Oryzias latipes: one gene and its partner. The protein of the gene in region 2 interacts with the protein of the main gene of each other region in a pairwise test. Links are inferred from orthologs where the notes say so. Each region holds a gene or a part of one and is shown on either strand. Other genes may lie near its edges.

Region 1 (11,495 bases), on a different chromosome or scaffold from region 2:
CTGAGCAGCTGTATCAATTTTATGCTGGGGGGGGGGGTGAAGCAGCTTTTGGTGTTTTCTTCTCATCTGTCTGTGGACTTCAGCACAAACTCATCTCTGTACACCAACCAACCTTCTGTCCTCCACTCCTGGGTTTCCAGGGGTTAGTCTGTCTGACTGTCCCCTTCACCCCCCCCCCCCCCCCCCTTTATACTTGAGACAGTGAAACCCTAAAGCTGCTCAGACCCGAGCGTTCTGGAAGGCCTCAGCAACAATCAGGGGGTCCTTCATGTCAGTGTCAGGACTCGGTGGTTCTCCCACATCCATGAATGTCCCGTTTCCTGATGAGGAGGTGCGTCTCTGAATCATCTGCCTCCCCGTTGTCGTTACAGCAAAGCTGGAGGTGGAGACGGACTCCTTTGGAAGTCGTGTTCGCATTAAAGGAATGAAGACGGGATACTACATATGCATGAACAGGAAAGGGAAGCTGATTGGAAAGGTAATCGGAATTTTGACGTTTGTTGACATTCCAGATCCGCTGAGCTTGTCAGACACCAACATTAGATTTGGGGAATTTTCGCAGCACCTCTGAAGGCTTCCCTGAACATTTGATTGTCTGAATAAAAGAGTGGTGTTTTTCGGAAACATCTGAGCCCCCCTCCCTCCCCCTGCTTTTGTCCTCTCTGCAGAGGAAAGGACGAGGCAAAGACTGCATCTTCACCGAGATTGTTCTGGAGAACAACTACACGGCACTCCAGAACGCCAAGTACGAGGGCTGGTACATGGCTTTCACGCGCAAGGGCCGCCCAAGGAAGGCCTCCAAGACCAAGCAGCACCAGAGGGAGGCCCACTTCATGAAGCGCCTCCCGAGGGGGCACCTGCTGAGTGAAAGGAGGCCGTTTGATACGCTTCCTCTGCCCGTCCCCGTTCAGCCTTTCAGCAAGCGGACTAAGCACTCCCATCAGCTGCGCTCGGAGGGTCGCTGAGGGACAAGCGGCACAGCAGAGGCGCCGCCGACAGCTCCAGACTGGAGGGAAACCTGCATGTACGCCTAAGTGCCCGAAGGCCTCGTTTGTGGATTTACTGAGTAATTCTTGGTACTGAATTGTAGATAAACTATCTAATCTGCTAGTTATTTCCAATTCAGATGATCATGGGGGGGGGGGGGGTCTCCTCAACAAAACTGTCCTGGATGAGAGTTTGGGGGCAGAAAACTGCATCAGAGAATGTTTGAAAGGAGGGAAGTAGACGTGGCAGCTATCTGGGCTTCCAGCATCTGAGTCCCGCCTCACCTGTGGGACACGTAACCTGTTCTTTTCTACATATATGAATATATTTTTACTGTAAAAATGTAAATCAAATATTTATTGTAGAGTGTATATTAAAACCACTAAAGAAAAGGTCCAGGCCGAGCTCTGGTGTTTTGGAAAGTCACCCCCTCCTAAAAAATACCTTCTTTTTTTTTCTCCTGGTCTTCTTCGCACTGAAGACCCAGATAACTGAGGGGCAATATCTGTGACAGGCTGCTGAATTCAATGTGCTCAGCAAGTGAGACCCGGGCCTGAATGGCCCGAGCTATGCATTAAAAGCGATGAGGTCAGCCCACCATTTCGGCTCAGACAAAAGTTACCACCATGTAGTTGCATTTCTCACGATCGCACACCGTAACCCTCAGATCAAATGAGCCCTTTGTGGAACCTCATATAAAAGGGCATGTTATACAATAGTGGGTTCGAATAATAACACGAGGAGGGGTCAGTTATCAAAAAGAAGCCAGTCACACAGGGAGGGGCGACGGGGGGGGGTTACAGCTTGCAGAGAAAGCACCGGGGTCTGTGTGGCAAAATGTGGCATCGACTGAAAGAGGGGGAATGGCTGGGAAGAGGCATTCGGGAATGAAAGGGAGGCAGAAAAGAAGCCCTCTTCCCAGAAGCAGCTGAGCATGACCGTCGGAGGCCAAACGACAGGGGAGGAGGACGATCCGGAGCGCAGCCGCTCCCTGCCTGCCCGTCTGCTGCAGTCAAAAAACGACAGATTTCATCTTCCTGGTAGAAGAAAACATCACATCCCTCCAAATAATCTGGACATACGGGAGCACAGAGTGCCTCAAATGTGTTTGTCTTGCATCTGCAGAAAGACAAAGCACAATGACCTGTGGTTTGGTCTCCGCGAGCGGCACTTGCTTTCTGGGTTTGGACAAGCAGAAAAAAATGCTAGGAATCATAAGCTGTACTTAAATCCAAGAGTCTCACTCGAAGGCCCTCTTCAGGCTGCCTTCAGGTTTTTCTTTGAACTGAATCAGACAGTAAACAAAAGTGCAGCCTGTTTCTTCATGCTGCAAACATGCCAGGATGCAAACTGCTGGGCAAAGGTGCCTCAGACGTCTGCTGTCAGCTGTCAGCTCCGCGTTTCTGGGAATCAGAATCAACCAAATGCAAATTTCAAACCATCAGGTACAAGAGAACAAAACGTGTGAACATCCTTGGAGGGATCAAAATGCTTTGTTTGGAAAATGTAAAGATGTGGGATTTCACTTTCGGACAAGTTCTGAAACTCGTACATTTAGGAACATGGAGGTATTTTGCTGTTAATGTCCAGATTGCAATCAAAACAGAAGCGGGGGGAAAACTTGAGGTGGTTTCTGCAGGCGTGTGAACAAAAGCTCTGGAGGAAATGAGGCTGTGAGGCTGTGAATGCAGCCCCCGCTCTCAGCCAGAGCTCACTGGGCTTTGCAGTCCCCCTCAGTCGTCCCCCTCAGCTCCTTCAGCTCCTTCAGCAGTTCCTGCTCCCCCGTTAGGATCTCTTTTGGCTTCTTGTACTGGAAAAGAAGAAGACATTTCTCATTATCATACATCTCTGGCGGCTTCAAAACAATCCGTGAAACACAGAGAAAATGTGACACATTCAACATCAGGCAAAAGCTCTGGTTGGAAGGACATCAGTCTAAAAAAAAGGAGACTGGATGGTTTTTTTTCCAGATTAAAAAGCAAAGTGTGAGAAACTCACACTGACGATCAGCGTGTTGTTGGCGTGTGTGAAGCTGAGGGCGGCGCTCTCCAGAGGCAGACAACATCGATCAAGATCAGGAATACAGAACTTTTTAAAATACCTGCAAAGACACATGCAGGATTACAAACGCACGGTGCGCCGGCAGCAACGCGGATGGTTTGTCTACAGCGCCATCTATAGGGAGAGTCTGAACATTGCATGCAACAAGTGTGCAGCGCAGGAAGGTACTTTTTGTTTGAGGTCTTTATGACGACACATGGGAGCCGGTTTAGCTCGTGCTGGTTTGCGGCGCCTTCCGTCCGTGAAACCAGGGTTCGACTCCGGGCTGCTCCCTGTTCCCTTCTCTACCCCTGTGCCGGTTCCAAGCCCGGTTTGAGAAGGTTGCGTCAGGAAGGGCATCCGGCGTAAAACATTGCCAAGTTTACCATGCGACTTGTTCGCTGTGGCGACCCCTGATGGGAGAAGCCGAAAGAGGAAGAAGATGACGACACATCTTTCAGACGGCTCCACAAAAACACTGAAGACATCTTTCTGGTAGGCGAGGTTCCGGATTCTCCACTGAAAACAGGCTGTGGAAACCAGAGAAAACGCTGCTGAGCTCTGCAAACCCAATCATTACTAAGCTGAGGTCAGGTCAACATAAAAGCAGAAAAAAAAAAAAACCCACATTGGAGCAGCTCTCTCTGATTATGTCCGAGTCCTGAGATCCCGGGGTGTTGACCAGCGGCTCCCCAACCTCCACCTGCCAGGGGCTTTGAGCTCCCAGTGGGCTTTTATGGCGCCATTTCCGCACTGAAACACATTCAGAAGACTCATCCTGACTCTACCGCCGGCGCCAGTACCTTCATGCTGCAGAAAAGCTACATTTGATCCTCACTAATAAGTTCGTCTGTCTTCAAGTCGTATTCTTCTGCCATCTCTTTCCCATCAGAGAAGAGATAGTGGATCTTCCGCTTACCTGCAGGTAGAATCAAAAGTGTTCACGAGAAATACTAAATAAAAATCTCAAGCTGTGAGGTTATGTTATGTTTATTTATCTCTTTCAACAAAAATAATCAGAAAGTGTCGAGCAGGGACGGAGATGTCCGGGTAGAAACCCACTACAACTGCGGCCCCCCCCCCCCCGCTGTTTAACTGACCACCACGAAAAACTGATTTACATTTGATTTTTGTTTGTTTTTGAACACCGATGAAAACCATTGGGGCCTAAATATTTACATGCAGTCACAACAAAATTTTATTCATCACTTGAAGCTGAAACTTGTTTAAGCATTTGCTCTAAACCAGTGTTTTTGTGGGAGATGGTCAAGTGTGCCGTGAGAAATTGCCCTCATTAACTGATCTAAAAACATTTAACATCTCCAGGAAATCAGCTCTTTGTTCATCCAAACAGGCCCTGGTAAAACACATAGAAGTTAAAAATATGAAATATCATAAAATTATTTTTTCTTTGTGTTTATATGATTCTTTTAAAGACATTTTGATAAGAATAACGGGATACCGTTAGCTGCAGCTATAACTGTGTAAGGAAAAGTCCCGCCCCTTTAACTGTCTCCACCAATCATTCTTGAAGGCTTAATCACATGTCATCAGTATGACCAATCAGAAGTGGTTAAAGTCTTCGCTTCCTTGTTTCGATTTAGCGCAAAAAAGTCTCTCTGTTCTAAGAAAAATACCAGCTAAAGCTCGTCTTTAGCGGTGTAGCTTTCCACAGAATCTGGTATCAGACTGTGGAACAAGTGAACAAAACAATGAAGCTCAAAGACGCTGGTCTTTCTGCGGTCGGCGCATTATCGGCACTACATCTCCCATGATGCAGTATAGTGACTGTCTTAGCGCACAATGAGTCTCTCCTCTTAACGTCTTAAAACAACGAACACACATCAAACAGTTTTTGAATCTTTTGACTAAATTTTTAATACATCTTTTAGAAAAAAACAGCTGCAGCTTCCAGCTTTTTATGCAACAATTATCACAAAAATGCATGTGAGATTGCAGAGCGGCTGTAGATCAATACAGACTATGAGCTTATTTTTTTATTTTTTTTTTTTATCTATTTTTTTGGATGCTGGTGTGCCGCGGGATCTTTTTCAAGGTTAAAGTGTGCCGTGTCTCAAAAAAGGTTGAAAAACACTGCTCTAAACAATAAGTGGGGAGAGGCATTTGCCAATAAAAAAAAAAGAAACTCTTCTACTTTTAGGTTGAATTAGCAGATAAATGCAAGGTAAGAATCTTCATCATTACCACCCTAAAATAAAAATATTAGAAGGCAAAACACACACAGTGTATATAATTAAAATACATAGTTTATCTGTATAAGTGCAGTAAAAAAGGACACATGAATTTCTGATTCATGCCAGCTGTATGTAACATAAAGGAATTTTGAAGAAACGTGTTTAGTATTTGCCCTAGACCTTTGCAACAATAAAAGCCTGTGAAAACAGTGGAATGGTCTATGGCACAGACGGATATCTGATCAGAACTTGTGTGGGTTCAGAATTAAAATGCACTTTCATTGTTTGGTACAAATACTTTAGATTTGGGTCCCCATCCAATCAGCGCATCTGTTGTCCAAATACTGCCCTTTCAAACTCCTCCCATTTAATTACTAATCGTAGATTTGCTTTCGGTCTGTTAATAAAAAATGCAGTTTGGGTTTATAATCAAACTAAACAATACTAACTTGGGTCGAAAGATGTTTTTTGATGTCTCATTTAAATCGCCGTCTGAAAGAGCTTTAATGTTCTTGTGAACAAAAAGCATTATTAGCAAACAGGAGCATCTTCATGGTCAGGTTGAGTGGTATGAGGCTCAGGATTCACTGACACTTGAGCTGCTGTGACTTGTTTTTCTCATGATATTATTTTCTAGCTTGTTGTTGCTATTTTCATAGATTCGGAGTTTCTTAAGTAACGTGGAGCGTCACATAGAATATCTAAAGTACTGTTACTGTTAGTATTTTGTAAATACGAACGCATCTGCTCGAGTCTGTCTTTTCGAGATTCTGGTATTAACGTAGATGGAACTGTAGGGACAGCTAGCTTGTTGCCTAGCAACATGATTAGCTATGAAGTGAAGTCCAACTTTAGGAAAGGTAATTACGTCAGGTTAATACATTTTAAAATGTTTTTATTTATTTAAAGAGTATTGTATCTTTTTTAACTTACCACCCTGTATGAGCGCCGTTTTTCTCGATGACTTCAAAACTTCGGTCCAGCTTTGCAGCTCTGCCATTTTACACTTCCGTCTCTCAGGCGGTTACCACGGAAACAAGTGGCGCGAAAATGTTATTGTGTAGTTAATTTTGAACGATAAAACTATTTCTTAGTATTGTCTTATATGAAATATAAGATAATAATTAACATTATTAGTGAAATACAAATAAATTAAAACGCATTATTTTTGTGACCTCAACCCGGAAATGAAGCATTCATAGAAGGAACAACTTCCGCTTCAGGTCACCTGTGTTTGTAACAGGGTAAGAGCTAATATTTTATAGTACAGTTGTTTTAAGCAACAAATGTTCGGTTTTATTTCAAAATGTAGAAATATTTCAATTTGCATCAAACTGCAGATAAAACAGAAAGGGATCAAATTAAAACTGTTTTCTGTTTTCATCGTCATTCGGTGTGAATGAGCAGCTAGCCATTTACAACAAGCGGAGGAATATTGTTGGCCTTATATAGTCCTTCACCATTGTGACTGGATATTTACAAAAATATTAATTACGGTTTTAAAGGAAACACTATAATACAATTCAGAAAATTAACCTGTTTAAAGAATAGTATGTTGTGCCAGGCCCTGAATCTTGTCTAAAAGAGAGAAAAATGCTATCCTCCCTTACTTTTCAATCAATTTTAACTTCAATGATCGTCTTTTTATGTTTTATTTGTCTGCATGCAAGATATTAACTTCTTTTATACTGTAATTTAGCAAGTTTATCCTTTTCTTTTGTACTTTAATTTGATTTTTCCTCTTTAGAAATACTATTTTTTCAAACCGAGTTTTAATTCTATTATTGTGCTTCTTGAAATGACAAACCTCGTCTTTGTTGTTCCAGTATGTTGAGTCCTAAAATAAAGTTCTACTTTTACGTTTTCACCAACTAAAAAACTCGCAAAACATTTTTTTTTCTGGCTTTGCTCTCAAATGAACATAAACAGGATGTGAAGTGAATTTCTCTAAAAACTCAAAAATCTCTGGATTATTTGGAAGGACAATGCTTTACGCAGACCTTCCAGCTCATTTGCTATTACGCTGATATATTTATTCTAACTCCATATTACAGCCCTTTACCTCCGCCCAGTTACTTGCCACAGACACAGTCTGTGCCAGAAAAACATGTTCCCGTCCATCTAAATTCTCCCTTTTCTGTATTTGGAATTTAGTGTTCAAAGGTTGCTTGATGAGAAACCAACCCGTTTATTTATCTTTGGCTCATGTAGTCTTCTGGTCTGTGTGCAGGCCAGCCGTTCCTCTTCTCAGATGGAGAGATGGAGCCCCGTCATGGGATCATGAAGGCTTTCCCCAAAGTTAAAAGAGCCAAAGTGCTACAGGGACAGGATGCCCCTCCGATGAAGAAGAAACCTGACGAAATAGAGGTTAAGGGGGGAAACCCTTTTAGCAGACTGACAGTGTACCTTCTGCCTGCTGGGATTGGAAATGCGAGGTGCCAGATATTCCAGAGACAAATTCAGCAGATGGGAGGACAGTTGGAGAGTTCATTGTGTGCTGCTGTCACTCATGTTGTGGTGGATGACAGCATGGATGGAGACAGGGTTCTGCGATTGCTGAAAGTGGATGGCCTGCCCTCTGGTGTTCATCTGGTGAAATGCAGCTGGCTGAGCATGTGCATTAGTGAGCGGAAACTCCTGGATATGGATGGATACAGCCTTCAACTCCTGGATATGGATGGATACAGCCTTCTTTTACCCAAGAGGTTCATGGTCATCTTTACATTTTCTTTTGGAGTTTTTGTCTCAGATCAGGTTTTTTCTGTATTCTTTTAAACCTCTAGTGTTCATAGTTCAAGATGTTTCTTTCATGCATATCAAAACACATGATTTCATACATAAATGACATATTGGTATATGCTTTACATCTTTTAAATATATTGTCCACCCAGGAGCTCAGAATCAAAGCTGGAAAGTGTGAGTGAAAAACAAGCGGATTTCAAATCGATTGCAGAAAACTTCCCAGATCCAGAGACTCTTCAAACCAAGCAGGAGGAAGCTGCACTCACGGTCTGTTTCCAGGTCACAGCATTCTCAGATGAACCTGTCAAAGATAAGCTTTTCATCACGATTTATCTTAACACCTTTCTAGCAGACAATCCCAGACACTAAAGAGGAGGTGGGTGGGGAGGAAGACTGCGTCTCCCAGAGCGACCTTGTAGCTCTAATCACTGGTCAGCACCCCGAAGAAGAGAGCCCAGGCGCAAGTGGAAACCCTGATCCAGAGGCTGTCGTGGAGAAAACGGTCCCAGGGAAGTGGGTCTGTGCTCAGTCTTCCAAGTCTAAGACTAATAACTTTAATAAGCACATCACAGACAAGCTGGAGTTACTGGCTAAGGCCTACACACATCAGGGGGACAAGTGGAGGGCTTTGGGGTACTCCAAGGCTGTCAATGCACTGAAAAGCTACCACAAGCCAGTGACTTCATATCAGGTAGAGCTTGCTTTAAGAGCTGCTGGTTCCACTGGTTTTTAGCATGTAATCAACTCTCTCGTTTTCTCATTTCAAATCACTTTCTCTAGGAAGCATGCCAGATCCCGGGAATTGGAAAGCGCATGGCCGACAAGATCGATGAAATAATGGAGAGCGGCCACTTGCGTAAGCTGGATCACATCGGGGAGGCCGTGCCAGTGTTGGAGCTTTTCACCAACATTTGGGGGGCAGGAGCCAAGACTGCACAGCTGTGGTACCAACAGGTGAAAACACAGCCTACGGCCTCTGCCATGTCATTCCTCTGTAATACTAACGGAGGTGGTTTCATCCCAAACTTTGGGATTTATGGAGCTGCTCCAGTTCCAGCTGGGAAACAGGATATTTAGCTGTTGTTTTTGTTTGTTTTAAAGACTCGTGAAATGTTTTTTTTTAACTCAGAGAAACTGAGTTTTTTGTCATTAAGTTTTCTTGTTGAATACCAGCAGTCTCCAGAGGAATTTAGTGTCTTTTTTGCTGTCAGGGATTTCGCACCCTGGAGGACATCCGCACCAAAGCTCGCCTGAGCGCTACTCAGAAAATTGGCCTGAAGCACTACAATGACTTTCTAGAGCGAATGCCCAGAGAGGAGGCAGCAGCTATCGAAAAAGTGGTAATAAATCTTCATTTGACCCATCAAATGCTTGCTTTGTTCTGTGATGATGACTGAAACATTGACTCCTACAAATGTTAGGCTGCATTCCTATGCAGGTGATGGGATCCTCCTTTGAACCATCAGCCATTTGTGAATTGAAGCCCTGAGGTTGGAAAATGTTTGCTGTAGCTTTGCTGCACGATGATGTAAAAAACAGAGAGCAGCGTCCCAAAGGGGAAAAGGAAACTCCAAACCTGGACTGCTCTTAAGTTGGCCAGATAACTGCTGGTTTCTCTGTCAAAGAGCTGCTGACCGGGATTTTCACTTTCCATCAAAGCTGCCAGTGAGAGATTAGACGCGAAGAAGATGACAAAAGCATGTGTGTGTCCTTGGTCTGCGAAATAATGTGCTTTGCAAGGATGCCTCCATATTTAAGGGGGAAAAGTTAAGCATTTGCTGGTGGGGGGCACCAGAGGAAGACTGCAAAAGGAAAGGGTCTCTTTTTTCACGTAAAGAAACTTTCACTTTTCAGCCCTGAAGAAACCAGAGGGCTGGAGTCTACTCACAAACATCTCTGGAAGATTCCTGGAGTTTTCAGGAATGTCAGTGACCCAATCATCATGCCCATCAGGGATGAAGACTTTGCTCCTGATGCACAGATTTCTCTGGAAATGTTTATGATATTCTGCTCTGGAGAAAGTCCTTGTACTTTTAGGTTGAGGAACATTTTTGGAAAAAAAATTCTCAATCTTTGTATGTTTATCAAAGGGCTTCTTTTTTCCTTTGTCTCTATAAGAAAACCCAGTAAAGATGATCATGTAGCAGACCTGACATCAATCAACGTCATTACTTGAGAAGTTCTCCAAGCCCAATTCTTTCATTTCCTGCTTCTTTGGTCATTTCTTGCCCCGATTTCACTATGAAACCTGCAGCAGCCTTACATTTGAAATGAGCTCATTTAATTCATCAAAGTCAGATTCCTCCGTTTAAACATTTACCTTGTCCATGTTAGGTTGGGAATAGAACATTGGTTTAGAAAGCATCGGAAAATCTTTTTAATTGTGGTCAAGTTTTTAAAAGGCCCAGAACTTTAGTCATGCAACGGCTTCTTCTGTGCAGGTGAGGGAAGCTGTGAGAACCTTGGATCCGGGACTCGTGGCCGTCGCCTGTGGTTCCTACCGTCGGGGAAAGGCGACTTGTGGAGACGTGGACGTACTCATCACTCACCCTGATGGCAAGTCCCACAGAGGCGTCTTCAGCAAAGTGTTACAAATCCTCCATGATGATGGTAATCTTATTCATTTGTAAGCAATGTTATTGGATTTTCATGTAGGAGAGGGTGACAAAGTTTTGCCATTTTAGGGTTTTTGACAGACGATTTGGTGAGCCACGAGGAGAATGGAGAGCAGAAAAAATACATGGGTGTGTGCCGGTTGCCGGGCCACCGTCATCGCAGGTTGGACATCATCATAGTGCCTTACGACGAGTTTGCCTGCGCACTTCTGTATTTCACCGGATCCGCACACTTTAACCGCTCGATGAGAGCCCTGGCAAAAACAAAAGGCATGAGCTTGTCGGAGCATTCCCTGAACAAAGACGTGGTCCGCCAGGGCACCTCTAAAGTCTGCGCTGGAAGTCCAGTTCCCACACAGACAGAGAAGGATGTTTTTAGTCTTCTGGGGATACCATACAGAGAGCCGCATGAAAGGGATTGGTGATTATTCCAAGGGAAAATACACCCCAAACTGTGATCCTTCGCAAATACTTTATATCATGGCTTTCAATTCTTTAATAATTTTACAGAATATTAGGAGGAGCTCATTTAAACCTCAAAGTACACTTTCCAAATTGGAAGTAAAACAAGGAAGTATCAGATGTTGCAGTTCCTCAAAATACCACTTGATGTTGGTCACGGACAGGAGTAATTTCCCATCGACTTCCATGTTAAAAGGTCAGATTTCACACCAAAAATAAAAGCATTCAGCAGTGTATCGAAAACCTTTTTGATGTTTATGACTTTTTTTTTCCAATATTATGAAAAGTCTTTGGGGTGGTGGGGGAAGCAAAAGTGGTTAGGTTGGTACACCTAACAGTTTTAAACTTTATTTTGTCCCGGCCCAATTGCAGTCTTCTGATGGTCGTGGAGATGGAAGGAGCAAACAACTGTCAGTGCGCCCCTCCTGCTTAAACTCAATTCTGGAATTAATTT
Region 2 (11,542 bases):
CATTGATTAGCAGAAATATCACTGCATCAGTTTGCCTTTACAGAAATCCTAGAGGCCAGAGCAGAAGTCATAGAGCTCCACCTGGTGGTGGCAAAGAATAACTAAAGTGACTTGTTTCAATCTTTTTCAGGTGAAACTCAAACACTTCTGAAGTTTTCCACTTGTGTTCAAAAGCTTTTTTTTATGAAAAAAAGTGCACATTAAACAAATAATTGTAATTCATAATCCATTTCAAAAGCCACACCATGCGAAACATAGATAAAAAAAAGAACAACTGTCATAAATTACATCATAATTCTAACCCACGTTTGCTAAGGTGCGTCATTGTACTCGGAAACACATGTAACCGTAAAGGTTTGGTCTCAGTGTTCAGACTAAAATCACAAATAAAACCTTGGAGAGAATTAGAAACCAATGAGACATTAAAAATACCGAGTATGACTACAAAAGTCCGTTTAATTGTTCAAAAATAACAAGCAGTGACAAATCAAAACAAAGAACAAACCACAGGAATGGGTTTCCTGGCTTAAAGGCCTCATTGATTAACACAGTTACGGTAAATCCACAATTTCTGTGATTTTATGACAAATTCCTGAATACAACACCAAATGAGTAGCAAACCAATGGAAACATGTAGGACTTTAATGAATTCATATTTCATCTCTACTTCAGGTAATCACTTGACTCAAAGTGGGGATTCAGTCCTAAACTGCTTGAATCTAGGAGAGAAGAAGCAGAGAAGCTGAGCTGTGTTTTCGTTATGAAGTATCCATGACGGCCGTTTCTGCAACACAAAAACACGCTCAATGTACTTTTCGTCCTTCAATATTTTAGGGAGAGTATAAAAGTTATCATTGCAAATGCAAAAAGGGGGCAGTTAAAGGCCCATTCTGATAAAATGTGTGTTCTTGTGGCATTCTTCTGATGATATAGAGGCTTAAATAAAGAAAATGAAGAATACAAATTGTATTTCTGATTACTTTTTTATTCAAATTGTTGTGAATCAGAAGGACATAAAAAAAAAAGAGCGTATCTGAGGTAGAAAATATGCTGAGCGAGAGACAAGCTCCCTGCTCTCAGCAACGGGACGGGAAGAGGGGGCGGAGTTGCTGCGCACCAACAGTCCCATCCACAACTCAAAGGTGAAATTCTAATGAGCTACTGCGAGCGACGCAGCAGAAACTATGTCTAGAGAACGACAGGTTTTTTGATTTTGGCAAAAAACAGCAACATCATAATTAAAAAGAACACTGGGATCGGAGTGGGACTTTGAGAAATTCAAAAGTGTTGAGATTTGGTTTTTGTTTTTAAACTTGAAACTTACGTGTTTCGTTAAAGAGGAAGGAATCCTGGTACTCCTTCATGTACTGAGAGGACCTGGCCTCATCCAGGAACAGAGAGTAAACGCGTTTGATGTCCTCCACCTGAACTTCTGTCCCCTGAAGCAGCACAAACAAAAAGATCCCTCCGTGATGAAAACAGTCACATGTTCTCATTTACCAAAACACCAGAAAACAGTGATGCTGAGAGCATCTTCTTGTAGTGGAGCTTACTTTGCGCTTGCGACACACCAGCCCTGCAGTGCTGATCAGCTGGATGGCGTAACGCAGCGACGTCTCCATGCCGATTCGAGTGAGCACCGTGTGCGCTTCCTCACTTAGCTCCACATCCTCCTCCTCACACCTGAAACACCGGGAAGTGGATGTGAGTGATGCTGAAAACAGGAGCAGGGTTCGGTGGCGGGAAGCAAACCCGCGCTCCCACCTGATCTTGAGGATCTGCCTGGTCTCTTTTTCGGTGTACGGGGACGTGGCGATGATGAGCAGCCGGTCCAGGAGGTCAATGGGGATGCCGTGAGGACTCTGATAGTTTGTGCCACGAATTCTGTGGGAAAACGTACGAAAATAAAACAAAGAATGTTTTTGTGGGGGGGAGAAAAAAAAAATCAAAGATTATAAAACAACTTTTAAATTTTAGAGCATTAGTTTTGAAGGACGCGTAAGCCATACACATCAAAGGAAACAGCTGAAGTGAATCAGCAGCATGAACAGTACCGAGTGATGCCTCTGTTGGTGGCCATGATGAGGACTGGAGACAGGTCGCTCTCCAGGGCTCGGTTCAGGAAGGAGAAGCACTCCATGTCCAGCATATGCACCTCGTCAATAAATAACACCTGGAGCCGCACGCATGCACACACAGTTACCCTCAACCAAACACAAAAAGGATCCCAAAATGCAGGCGGCGGCGTACCCCTGGAATGATCTCCGCCTTGCCTTCTTCCCTCCACTCACACACTTTGGCATTGATCTGCTCTCGGACTTCCGACTTGATTTCTCCGGTGTCTCCGGAGAACAGAGCCAGGAAGCCTTGTGTGCGGCTGTTGATGACGTCGATCTCATGGAGGGACACTGTGTGCACCACCTCCTTCCTCTTCTGCAGCTCTCCTTCAGGACACTGGACAAACTGAGTCTGCAAGCAGAGGAAATGGACAGCAGTTACAGCTGATGCGGTTTAAGGATCAGCTGACGGTTCTCAAGAGAAAATCACTAGATCATCTTTTACCCTCAATTGTAATTGATTAAATTCTTTAGTTTTTGTTTTGTTTTTTCAAATTAGTGTCAGTAAAACGCAAAACTGGCTGGAATATCAACACCAACAACAAATATAAAACAAATACCATTCTCGTAATGAAACCGCATTTAGTGAATTTTGAAATTTAAGTGCATCCCCTAAACATATTTGAAGATCCACTCTAATGAAAACCCTGTTTTTTTTGTTTTTTATTTTGTTCTTGGGAGATTTTTCTCTTGATGGAGGAAACTTATCAAGAAAATTACAATTCTGACTATTTCTTTATTCAAATTGTTGTGAACCAGGAGCAGATCCTGTTTGAAAATGTTCCCATTTATGACGTAGAAACTACAATCGGCAGTTACAGGCTCCCTGCTCCGCTCCATTCTGATGCATCCGCCTGCAGACAAAGAGATCCATGAATGTCTTTGTTTTCCTCGTCTGAGCTGGAATCTGGATCTAAACTGTACGGCTGGATAGAACTAACATTGCTCGCCATTTTTGTGGCAGCAGTAATGTTAGGTTGGGGTTGTGAGGGGCTGTAAGCTAGTGGGAGAGTGTAAAAACAGAGCTCTCAGCAACAGGGACGGGAAGGTTGTTTCGCGCCGACAAATCAGAGGCAAATGTCTAATGAACTCCTGCATTGGAAACTATGTCACAGCTTCAACCCCACCTGCTTTTGCAGAACAAGACGTCACTGCTCCCTGTGTTCCATCCCTCCACCTTATTACGCCGTGTCTGCTGTCAGATTTTGTTTAGTGTCCTTCTTTGAGTTGCAGTCATTGCTGTTTGCAAAGACAAACATCTGCTACTGACCAAGTTTGTGGTCCATTAAATCTTTTTATTTTTTATTATATATTACTCATTTGTGGTTCATTTGACAGAGTGAAACTTAAAGCTTAAATGACAGAATCCACGTTTTTTTTTTTCATTTCAAGTCTTCATTATTTGAGACACTTTTTCATTTGAGCAGAAAGGATTCTCGGGATAAACAATATTCAGATAAGTTTTATGCAAATCAATGTCATCATAACCCAAGATTTTGAGATTAACCAGTTCTGAAGTTACATTTTCAAGTACAGTGTTCCCTCATTTACCGCTGGGGTTACGTTCTAAAAATAACCCACGATAGGTGAAATCCGTGAAGTAGGATTACAGATGTTTCAAGGCCGTAAACCTCCTCACTACACACTTTTTACACTTTTCTCAGACAAACATGAACATTTTCACACTTGTCTCTCTTGTTTAAACTCTCAAAGTTCTGTTTTATAGAATGAAAACAAAGATCTGATTGTGACAAAAGATTGATGTAACTCTGGTAAGATGAGCACATTGTGTAAAGAACAGAGAGGGGATTAATTGACAAGGTCAACAGCCAATCAGGACGCACAACACAGTGCTGTAAAAAGAAAAAAAAAACGTGCAGAATTGCAGTAAAAGAAAGCGAAAGGTGAACTGTGATATAGCAAGGGAACCCTGAAATCATAGTATTCATTATAATCTTCAAGTGATAACACTTACAGAGGCTTCAGGTGGACTTTGTATTTGACTATAACCCAAATTCAAAGTATGGTATTCAACTGTCCCATGCAGAGATCTTACCTGGGCTCCCATGGCGTCGTAGTCTCTGGCTCTAGTGAAGGAGCGCCCCAACTTGGAGATTTTCCCGGTGGCTTTGTCAATGGTAATAACATCACTAAAAAGTGTGTTTAAAGACAAACAAGAAAAGCTCCATTTAGATAGGACTGAGAAAAAAACAAAACCCAAACCTTTATATTGCTTTATGAGGAGAAGATGAACTCACCCGGCTTGAACTTTCTCTTTACTGAGGCTTTCAATCATCTTGTTCCCCAAGTCATATATTGTCTCCATCTCTGTAGTCTTCAGAGTCAGCTTCCCCACCTTTGCACCCTGATTAAAGCAAACCAGCTCAACATGAGGCGAATCAGCTAAATAAATCAACGTTTTCTAAAGCTATGGTATGGAAAGACTGTTTATGAAGTGAAAGGATCTTACTGTTCCAGTGGCGGGTCTGTCAATCTGGATTTCTACCACCTCCCCTTCAATGATTTCTGTCTCCTCTCTGGATTTATGGGGGGGAAGAGAGCGGACTTAATTTCTATCCAAAAAAAACAACCTAAACCTTGTTTATATACTTACTTGATTCTCACTCCTATAGCTTTTCTAAAAGCTTGGCTCAGTGCTTCAGTTTTGCTCATTTCCAGGGAAAAGATCTCACTTCCAGCCAGAGCTGTAAAGGGGGTGTCAGGGCCCAAAGACTGAGCAATACCTGTAGATGAAAGAAAAACATGCAACAAGCCTCAAATAGCCAACAGAACTTTGCCTCAGGTGGAAACTTGTATGCATCATTTCTGGTCCCATGCTCACCCATAGCAATAGCCGTCTTCCCCGTGCCCGGCTGGCCAGCAATCAGAACGGCCCTGCCGGCGATGTGTCCGTCTTTGATCATCTCCAGGATTATCCCTGCTGCTCGACGGGAGGCCAGCTGGCCGACCATCCCCTGTGACACCTGCAGGTGAACAGGGAACTCAACTCGTTCAGCAGCAAATATGCCTCATTCGGATTTTATCCTTTGACTTAAGGGACATTTTGAATGCTTTAAACAAGCTGCTAAAAGACTTTCCTGTTGGAATCACAACATGTGGGTTTAGTGCTGACAACAGGGCTTTAGAATCAAGTCTCGCTTTGCTACTTGACTACCTCTATACTGCTTCATGTTGTTTCCACACACAACAAAACATTAAAAGGTACATTCGAAACATTTTAACCTCTCAAGTTTAACAGCAGTTTAAAAATATCCAAATATGTTTTCCTCTGTTAAGTTTTTGCCTTTTTAAAGGACATGAATTACAAAAAAAAGCCATAATTTTATCAAAACTACAAACACCTAAAACTACTGAAGTCTTGGGTCAAAACAGAGATCAACAAACAGAAGTGCTGCACGTTACCTGTCTGGGCTCCAAAGCATCGTCCAAACCAAGGCCCCGAATGTGAGAGTGGGCCCCTAACCACACAAAGATGAAACTATTACACAAAATATTACAAACATACGGGAAATCATAGCAAAAATAAATACACACAGCTCATGTAGAGATAAGGCATGTTCTAAAGTTTACCATTCAATTTAAGCTTACCATTTATTTCTAAAGTGTTGAAAATCTGCATGGGGTCTTACCTATTCTTTCAATCCGTGTAATGTCCCGAACCTCTGGCACTTTTGTAGTTGCCATCTGTAGAATAATACATCAATGACAAGAAGAAAACAAAAAAATGCAAAGAAACATTTTTAAAACAATTTGCCTCATCGTAAACAAAAGAACAAATATTTTCAGAGGAGTTTAGGCCTTCGTTGATCTTTGACTAAATCTTAAGAGCATTTTTTATTGTTTGTTTAAAAATCCTGCTTATGAAAAAGAACAGCAAGAATTCCTTATGTGTGTGTTCAAATATCGATGACACTTTTGGATGTTTATCGTTTCCAAAGAGAGTTAAAATTTGCATCCTCCATTCACCAATGTTTTAGTGTTTTCCACATAGACTTTGTCAAAGCAATATAAATGTGGAATTCCTTTTATGCTCCACTTGTCCTGTCCGTTGTCATAGTGACAGCAATGAATGACCACACACAACACAACAGCAAAGCTTAGTCAACACTCTTTGACATTTTAAAATATATATACGCATATTTGTGAAACATATCTAGGAAGGAAAGTATTAGTAAATCAGGTTTAGAAAAATTGACACTTCACTGAAATTAGTTTATTTTCTAATATGAATACGGGGGGAGAAAATCGACAGGTAACATCAGCTAACGATATTAGCAAACAAGCTAGCATCATTCACACCGTTCATAACGCAAAACAACAGCACACGCCATATTAGCCGGGTAATAAAAGCCTGCATGACACGCGGAAGTACTTAAAAATAAATTGGCTATACTACTTGGGTGAAAATATTAAAGTCCAAATTGATTTTAACATCTACTACAAACTCAGGACTCACCTCCGCAGCCACACTTAAAAAACGTGAGAAGCGCCGCTTCTTTCTCAGGGAGTACTGGTTAAATGTGTCCGACAAGAAACATGCGAAGCCGTTCAGTTCCGCTACTAGAGTTTATTGGGACTGCCCTCTATAGACTCAAATGTGAATTACAAATCTGGCGTAAAAGCCCGGATTTGTTTTTGAGATGAAAGCTACGTTTTTGTCTTGATCGTCACGATAATGATAACCTGAAAATACTTAAATACTTCGAAATTATCTTTCTGTGTGTCAAATTTACTACCTAACAAATAATGTTTTTGGCATTTTTGATACCTATAACTATTAGAACTGAAATTTTAAGCATTCAAATACAGATTAAAGATTAGAAAGAAAAATAAACTCAGGTTGCTAATAATTTAAGACCTGGATTGCAGTCATCTGAACAAAATAAAACCAAGGAATCTAAAATTGTAGTTTAAAAAAATACTTTAAACTTAAAGAAATGCATAAGAAAACGTCACATTTTAAACAACTTATCATGCTGTTACCTTGAAAAAAAGATAATTAAACCTAAAACATCACAAATATTCATATATTTATTTCCCAACAAATGTAAAAATATGATCATGCATTAAAAAACATGTACTCCCTTAATATGCACTGCTTTTATAATGTGTGCTTGAAGTCCTTATGGTAATTTTCTCTCTTTATCATGACTTATATAATCCATAGGTGATCTCCTGAACCAAAACTGGTCAGAGAAACTAAGAGGTTTCAAAAACTTTCCATTTTGACCCAAAAGAAACCCTGTTGGTTTGCAGAGGATGTGACTAAACCTGATTAGTCTGAAGAAAAGCCCAGCAGCACTGCACAGATTTTTCCACTAGAGGATGCAAGATTAATGTTGTGCAAGGATCCTCATATAGACAAAGTTATAGTAAGAGATCTACTAATAAACCAAAGTTATAGGATTGATGACAGAAGCCACATGAAACTAAATGATGCTTGTAGAGATATTTCAGTTAGAGGGAGTAAGTGTAAACAACCCCTACATAAGGTATGAAGTGTAGGAATGGGTGTTGTTTCTTATTATTTACCTTGTAAAAAAACTGCATCTCCCTTTTTTATTTGCCAAGTCTGAGGATAATCTCTTTATCCTCAGAGAAATTGTTGAAAATGTTTAGACGAAATAACTCGAAGGAGCAGACCCCTCTGAAGTGCTACAGAGGGGGTCTTAATATCCTTTCCATAAATCATCAAATTCAACCCTCAAGGCTGAAGGGTTCCAGATCATAATGTTTCATTCAGGAAACAGATGGATGCTGAAAATGACAGGTTCTTCAAGACTGAAATGAAAGAGACAAGGATGAAGCAAACTCATCGTTGTTTCATTTCAGGCGTCAGTTGTTGGGTGTGGCAAACAAGTTCAGCAGCACCCACTTGAATTGCTGAGAGGCACTCACAAATTGCATTTTTTGTGTAGACGGACCAGAGTCCGTTGGGTTGAGTGACTTTGGAAACACTTCATGGAGCAGCTCTTTTGTCTTTTGTGCCGTTTTAGGTCCAGATGTCGATCTTTGCTTAAATCCAACTATTGGAGTTACTTTTATGAAATCCTTTTACGACAAATTAGTCTATCATCAAGGCACTGCTGATTGTGAACTGTCAAAAGACAATGCCTCTGTCATACAGTGTAGGAGTGGTGGCGGGGTAAATTCCTGTGACTTGCCACAGAACAGGATGTTCCCCGAGATCGCACTTCCTCCAAACAGGCAAATGAGTGTGAGGTCCTTTCCGTACGAGGTTCAATTTCATGTTAAATCTAGGTGTGTCTAGTAGTTCTAAATGTTACATTTTTATACCTGATGTTCATGTTAGTGAGCAAAAAGGGACAAGAAGCTGAAAGTTGTGGTAAAATAAGTTTTACTTAAATAAAAGGATGAAAAATCACAGCATGAAACCAAATGTTTATTGATAAAATACAGATACAAAATGACTAAAATAGGTTTGAACTGCAGTAAGTTGTTTTCATCTTTTCAAACTTTACATTCATTCAAAGATTATTCACATTCATCACAAATCACTTCCCCTGATTAGTACACATGTAAAAAAATTCTACATCTCTCTTTGAAAAAAAATCTAAATATATATATATATATATAAATCAAATCTTTTTGGAAAAGTAGTTTGTGTTAATATTTTTCCTACTCATTGATTTGTAATGTATTCACAGTTGGACGATGGTGACAGCAGACTCATACCAAACCCAGAACCCTGGATAAACAGGTTCGCTGAAGGAGGCCTTAAAAGTGTGGAGGAGAGACATGGTGTCCCCCACAGCGTAAAAGGAGAGGGTTCCTCCAACATGGTCCAGGAAAATCCCGATGCGGGGGCAGTACGGAGCGTTGATCTCAACTTGGTCCTTGCTATGGCGGGCCGAGTAACTGGAGTCAGAGCAGAAGAAGCTCCAGGATTTACGGTTGTGACCGATGCGGGCGTGGTCACCGTAGCCTGTCCTCTTGATGCCTTTGTAGGCAATTCCTATGGCTGCCCCCTCCCCACTCCAGTCTACCTCCCAGTAAAAAGCATTTCCAGCAAGGGGCTCTTTGCACAGAACCTGAGGCAGGGAGTCGAACCTGTTGGGGTGATCGCTGTAGGACTGCGTGTCTCTCTTGAGGGTGGCCTTCCTGTTTCCACGAGACAGGTAGAGCTGTCTGTAGGCCGTATTTGGATCCAGAGTGAGCTGGCAGGCATCTGCAGAGGGACAGAAGACAGAGTGAACATTCATCCAGCAGGAGGGAGAATTTATTGTTAGAGTTAAACATAAACGAGGAAATTCTAGGAGGCGGATAAAGCACCCATCACCATCCTACAGGAAACAACAGGGTCCTAAGGTTAGCAGGACGTCATGAAGTTTTCTAGCTCTGTTAGAAGTTTAACCAACGTTTGTAATGTCATGCTTCACAGAAAGGGTGTGAGACCCTATGGCTGGACACACAGAAAGCAAAACGATCAGCGGGTCACCTGCCTGCTGTGCACCTTTGCCTCTGCAGGTCACAGTTGATGGGACACTCGATAGCCTCGGCTATTTCTGGCTGGCCTATGATCTGGAATGCCAGAAGCATCAACAGTGTTTGTGAATTTGACCACAAACTTGTTCCCCAAACATTTTCAAGTCTAAGGTGAGAGCCATCCTCAAACAGTCTGTTTTCAGTTGAAATTCTATGCTCCTGGAGCAGGACTAACGAATGGAAATGGCTTTTTAGAGCTACTAAAACAAGTGAAAAAAGGTGTTTCAACTGTAAGGGAAACACAAACCCTGAACAAGTGCCTGCGACTTTTAATACTTGTGATGCATCTGTCCCTGTCTCTGTCAACACTCTAGGATGGGAAATGTTTCGAAAGCGTTGGGGTTTAGTGGTCAGCCACAGGGTCTGACAGAGAATCTCAGCAGCGTCTAGATTTCCTGAACTGAGCGACGAGAGCAACGTCACTGCAGAAAATAGACTCACATCTCAGGAAGTCATCCCGGTACTGGGGCTCTCTGACCGGCATGGACTTGTACATGGGAGCTTCCTCAGCTGTGGGGGCAAATGCAAAACACAGATTTTCAAATTAAAATTGTGTAGACGGAAAAAAAATGAAAACAATTGCTCAATGTGCACCAATGACAGTCATCACAACTGTCTCAGAAAAGATAACCGGTAGCTAGAAAGGACTGTATTTCTTCTTACAGCACTCTTAATATGAGTTCAGAAAAGGATCTGACTTCATTCACTAAAACTTGTCCACACTTATTTAGATCCCACATGCTTCTTTGTCATCGTCATCAACGAGATGCTAGATTATTGTCTTGACTTACCTTTGATTGATCGTTTCTTTTTGGCATCATCCAGTTCACAGAAGCTCATTTTGTTCACTGTAAAATTAAATAAAAAACACACAGGAGTTAGCATGGCTAAGGCTGTGGAGATAACTGCTTTTGAGAAGTAATAAAGTCAGTGTTCTGGTGGTGATCCACGCTCACCTGTCTTGGCCACCTTCACAAGCTCATCATTGCTGAATTCGTTCATGTGCTGCTTCATCTCAGACACGGCCTTGGTCACAGGGCCAAAGGAGAAGTAGGGGTTGACAGTAACTGAAGGCAGTTCCTCAGCCTCAGTCTGGGCTATCAGCATGTGGTAAGTCTGACAATAAAAAATATCATGACTTTTACAGATGATGCACTTATTGGAGTTAGTTTGAGCATGCCTCTTGTTTCAGGTGCCATGCTAACCTGGATGAAGTGGATGTGGTCTTCAGTGCGGGACAGCTGGGTGATCTCACTGTCTCTTCTTTTCAGGTCAGCGATCTCATGGTTCAGGCGCTCCATGTGGCCCTCGGCATTGCTCAGTGCCGCTCTCTTGTTGGTGGATATCAGCTTGGCCATCTCCTGCTGCATCCTCTCGATGGAGCGCATCATGTCCCCAAACATCTTCTCACATTCCTGCAGCGCTCTCTGGGCTGAGTTCTGCACAGAAAAAAAAACGGGTTTTTCTAATATAAAGTGCGAGGCACGCAGATTCAGAACACTTAGAGGAGCTGCCATCTACAAGAAGGACTGTTTCCTGGTTTGCAGTGGCTCTTATCTGTTGGATGAATGATCGGGTCACAGACCTTGAGTGAGTCCACAGCTTGTTTGAGCTCCTCCATCTGCTTCAGACGGTCATGAATCTTCTCCTGGATCTCTGCCTGGGTGGCACCAAGCCTTTGCTAAAATAAAATAAAAATAGATATATCGACTCGTTCGACCAAATAATGTATCGTCTGTTTAAATTTGAGCTCATTAAACTCAGGAAAGACAAAGGACAACCAGCTTTGTTTAATGTATTGTTAGCTGCTTTCTCACAGATTTCACACTGCTGCTATCATTCCCAAAAGTCCCATATAAAGTACAAGAAACTATTCTGGAGCTTTGTGTTTTGTTTAA

Evidence for each region.
Region 1: the proteins of ruvbl2 (region 2) and dpcd interact in binary tests that used the Homo sapiens proteins (3 or more experiments, as listed by UniProt). The two-hybrid records come from large-scale screens. The link is inferred for Oryzias latipes from reciprocal best matches to the Homo sapiens genes RUVBL2 and DPCD.

The regions. Positions count from the first base shown.
Region 1 is NC_019859.2:29,441,344-29,452,838, forward strand, and holds dpcd (protein DPCD), read right to left. Parts: upstream 6,241-11,495; 5' UTR 6,223-6,240; coding exon 6,156-6,222; intron 4,006-6,155; exon of another isoform or gene 3,987-4,005; intron 3,947-3,986; coding exon 3,866-3,946; intron 3,781-3,865; coding exon 3,652-3,780; intron 3,579-3,651; coding exon 3,478-3,578; intron 3,261-3,477; coding exon 3,217-3,260; intron 3,089-3,216; coding exon 2,986-3,088; intron 2,798-2,985; coding exon 2,699-2,797; 3' UTR 2,218-2,698; downstream 1-2,217. Other genes in the region: fibroblast growth factor 8b-like, read left to right, coding at 372-478, 669-965; poll (DNA polymerase lambda), read left to right, coding at 7,482-7,927, 8,114-8,231, 8,314-8,655, 8,745-8,918, 9,176-9,304, 10,406-10,574, 10,649-11,004. UniProt on the Homo sapiens protein: May play a role in the formation or function of ciliated cells.
Region 2 is NC_019872.2:21,686,928-21,698,469, forward strand, and holds ruvbl2 (ruvB-like 2), read right to left. Parts: upstream 6,705-11,542; 5' UTR 6,595-6,704; intron 5,823-6,594; coding exon 5,768-5,822; intron 5,597-5,767; coding exon 5,541-5,596; intron 5,102-5,540; coding exon 4,960-5,101; intron 4,862-4,959; coding exon 4,732-4,861; intron 4,655-4,731; coding exon 4,588-4,654; intron 4,483-4,587; coding exon 4,376-4,482; intron 4,268-4,375; coding exon 4,174-4,267; intron 2,470-4,173; coding exon 2,251-2,469; intron 2,174-2,250; coding exon 2,055-2,173; intron 1,885-2,054; coding exon 1,765-1,884; intron 1,684-1,764; coding exon 1,554-1,683; intron 1,440-1,553; coding exon 1,325-1,439; intron 785-1,324; coding exon 759-784; 3' UTR 625-758; downstream 1-624. Other genes in the region: tripartite motif-containing protein 16, read right to left, coding at 8,801-9,327, 10,086-10,154, 10,436-10,492, 10,601-10,760, 10,850-11,083, 11,230-11,325. UniProt on the Homo sapiens protein: Possesses single-stranded DNA-stimulated ATPase and ATP-dependent DNA helicase (5' to 3') activity; hexamerization is thought to be critical for ATP hydrolysis and adjacent subunits in the ring-like structure contribute to the ATPase activity.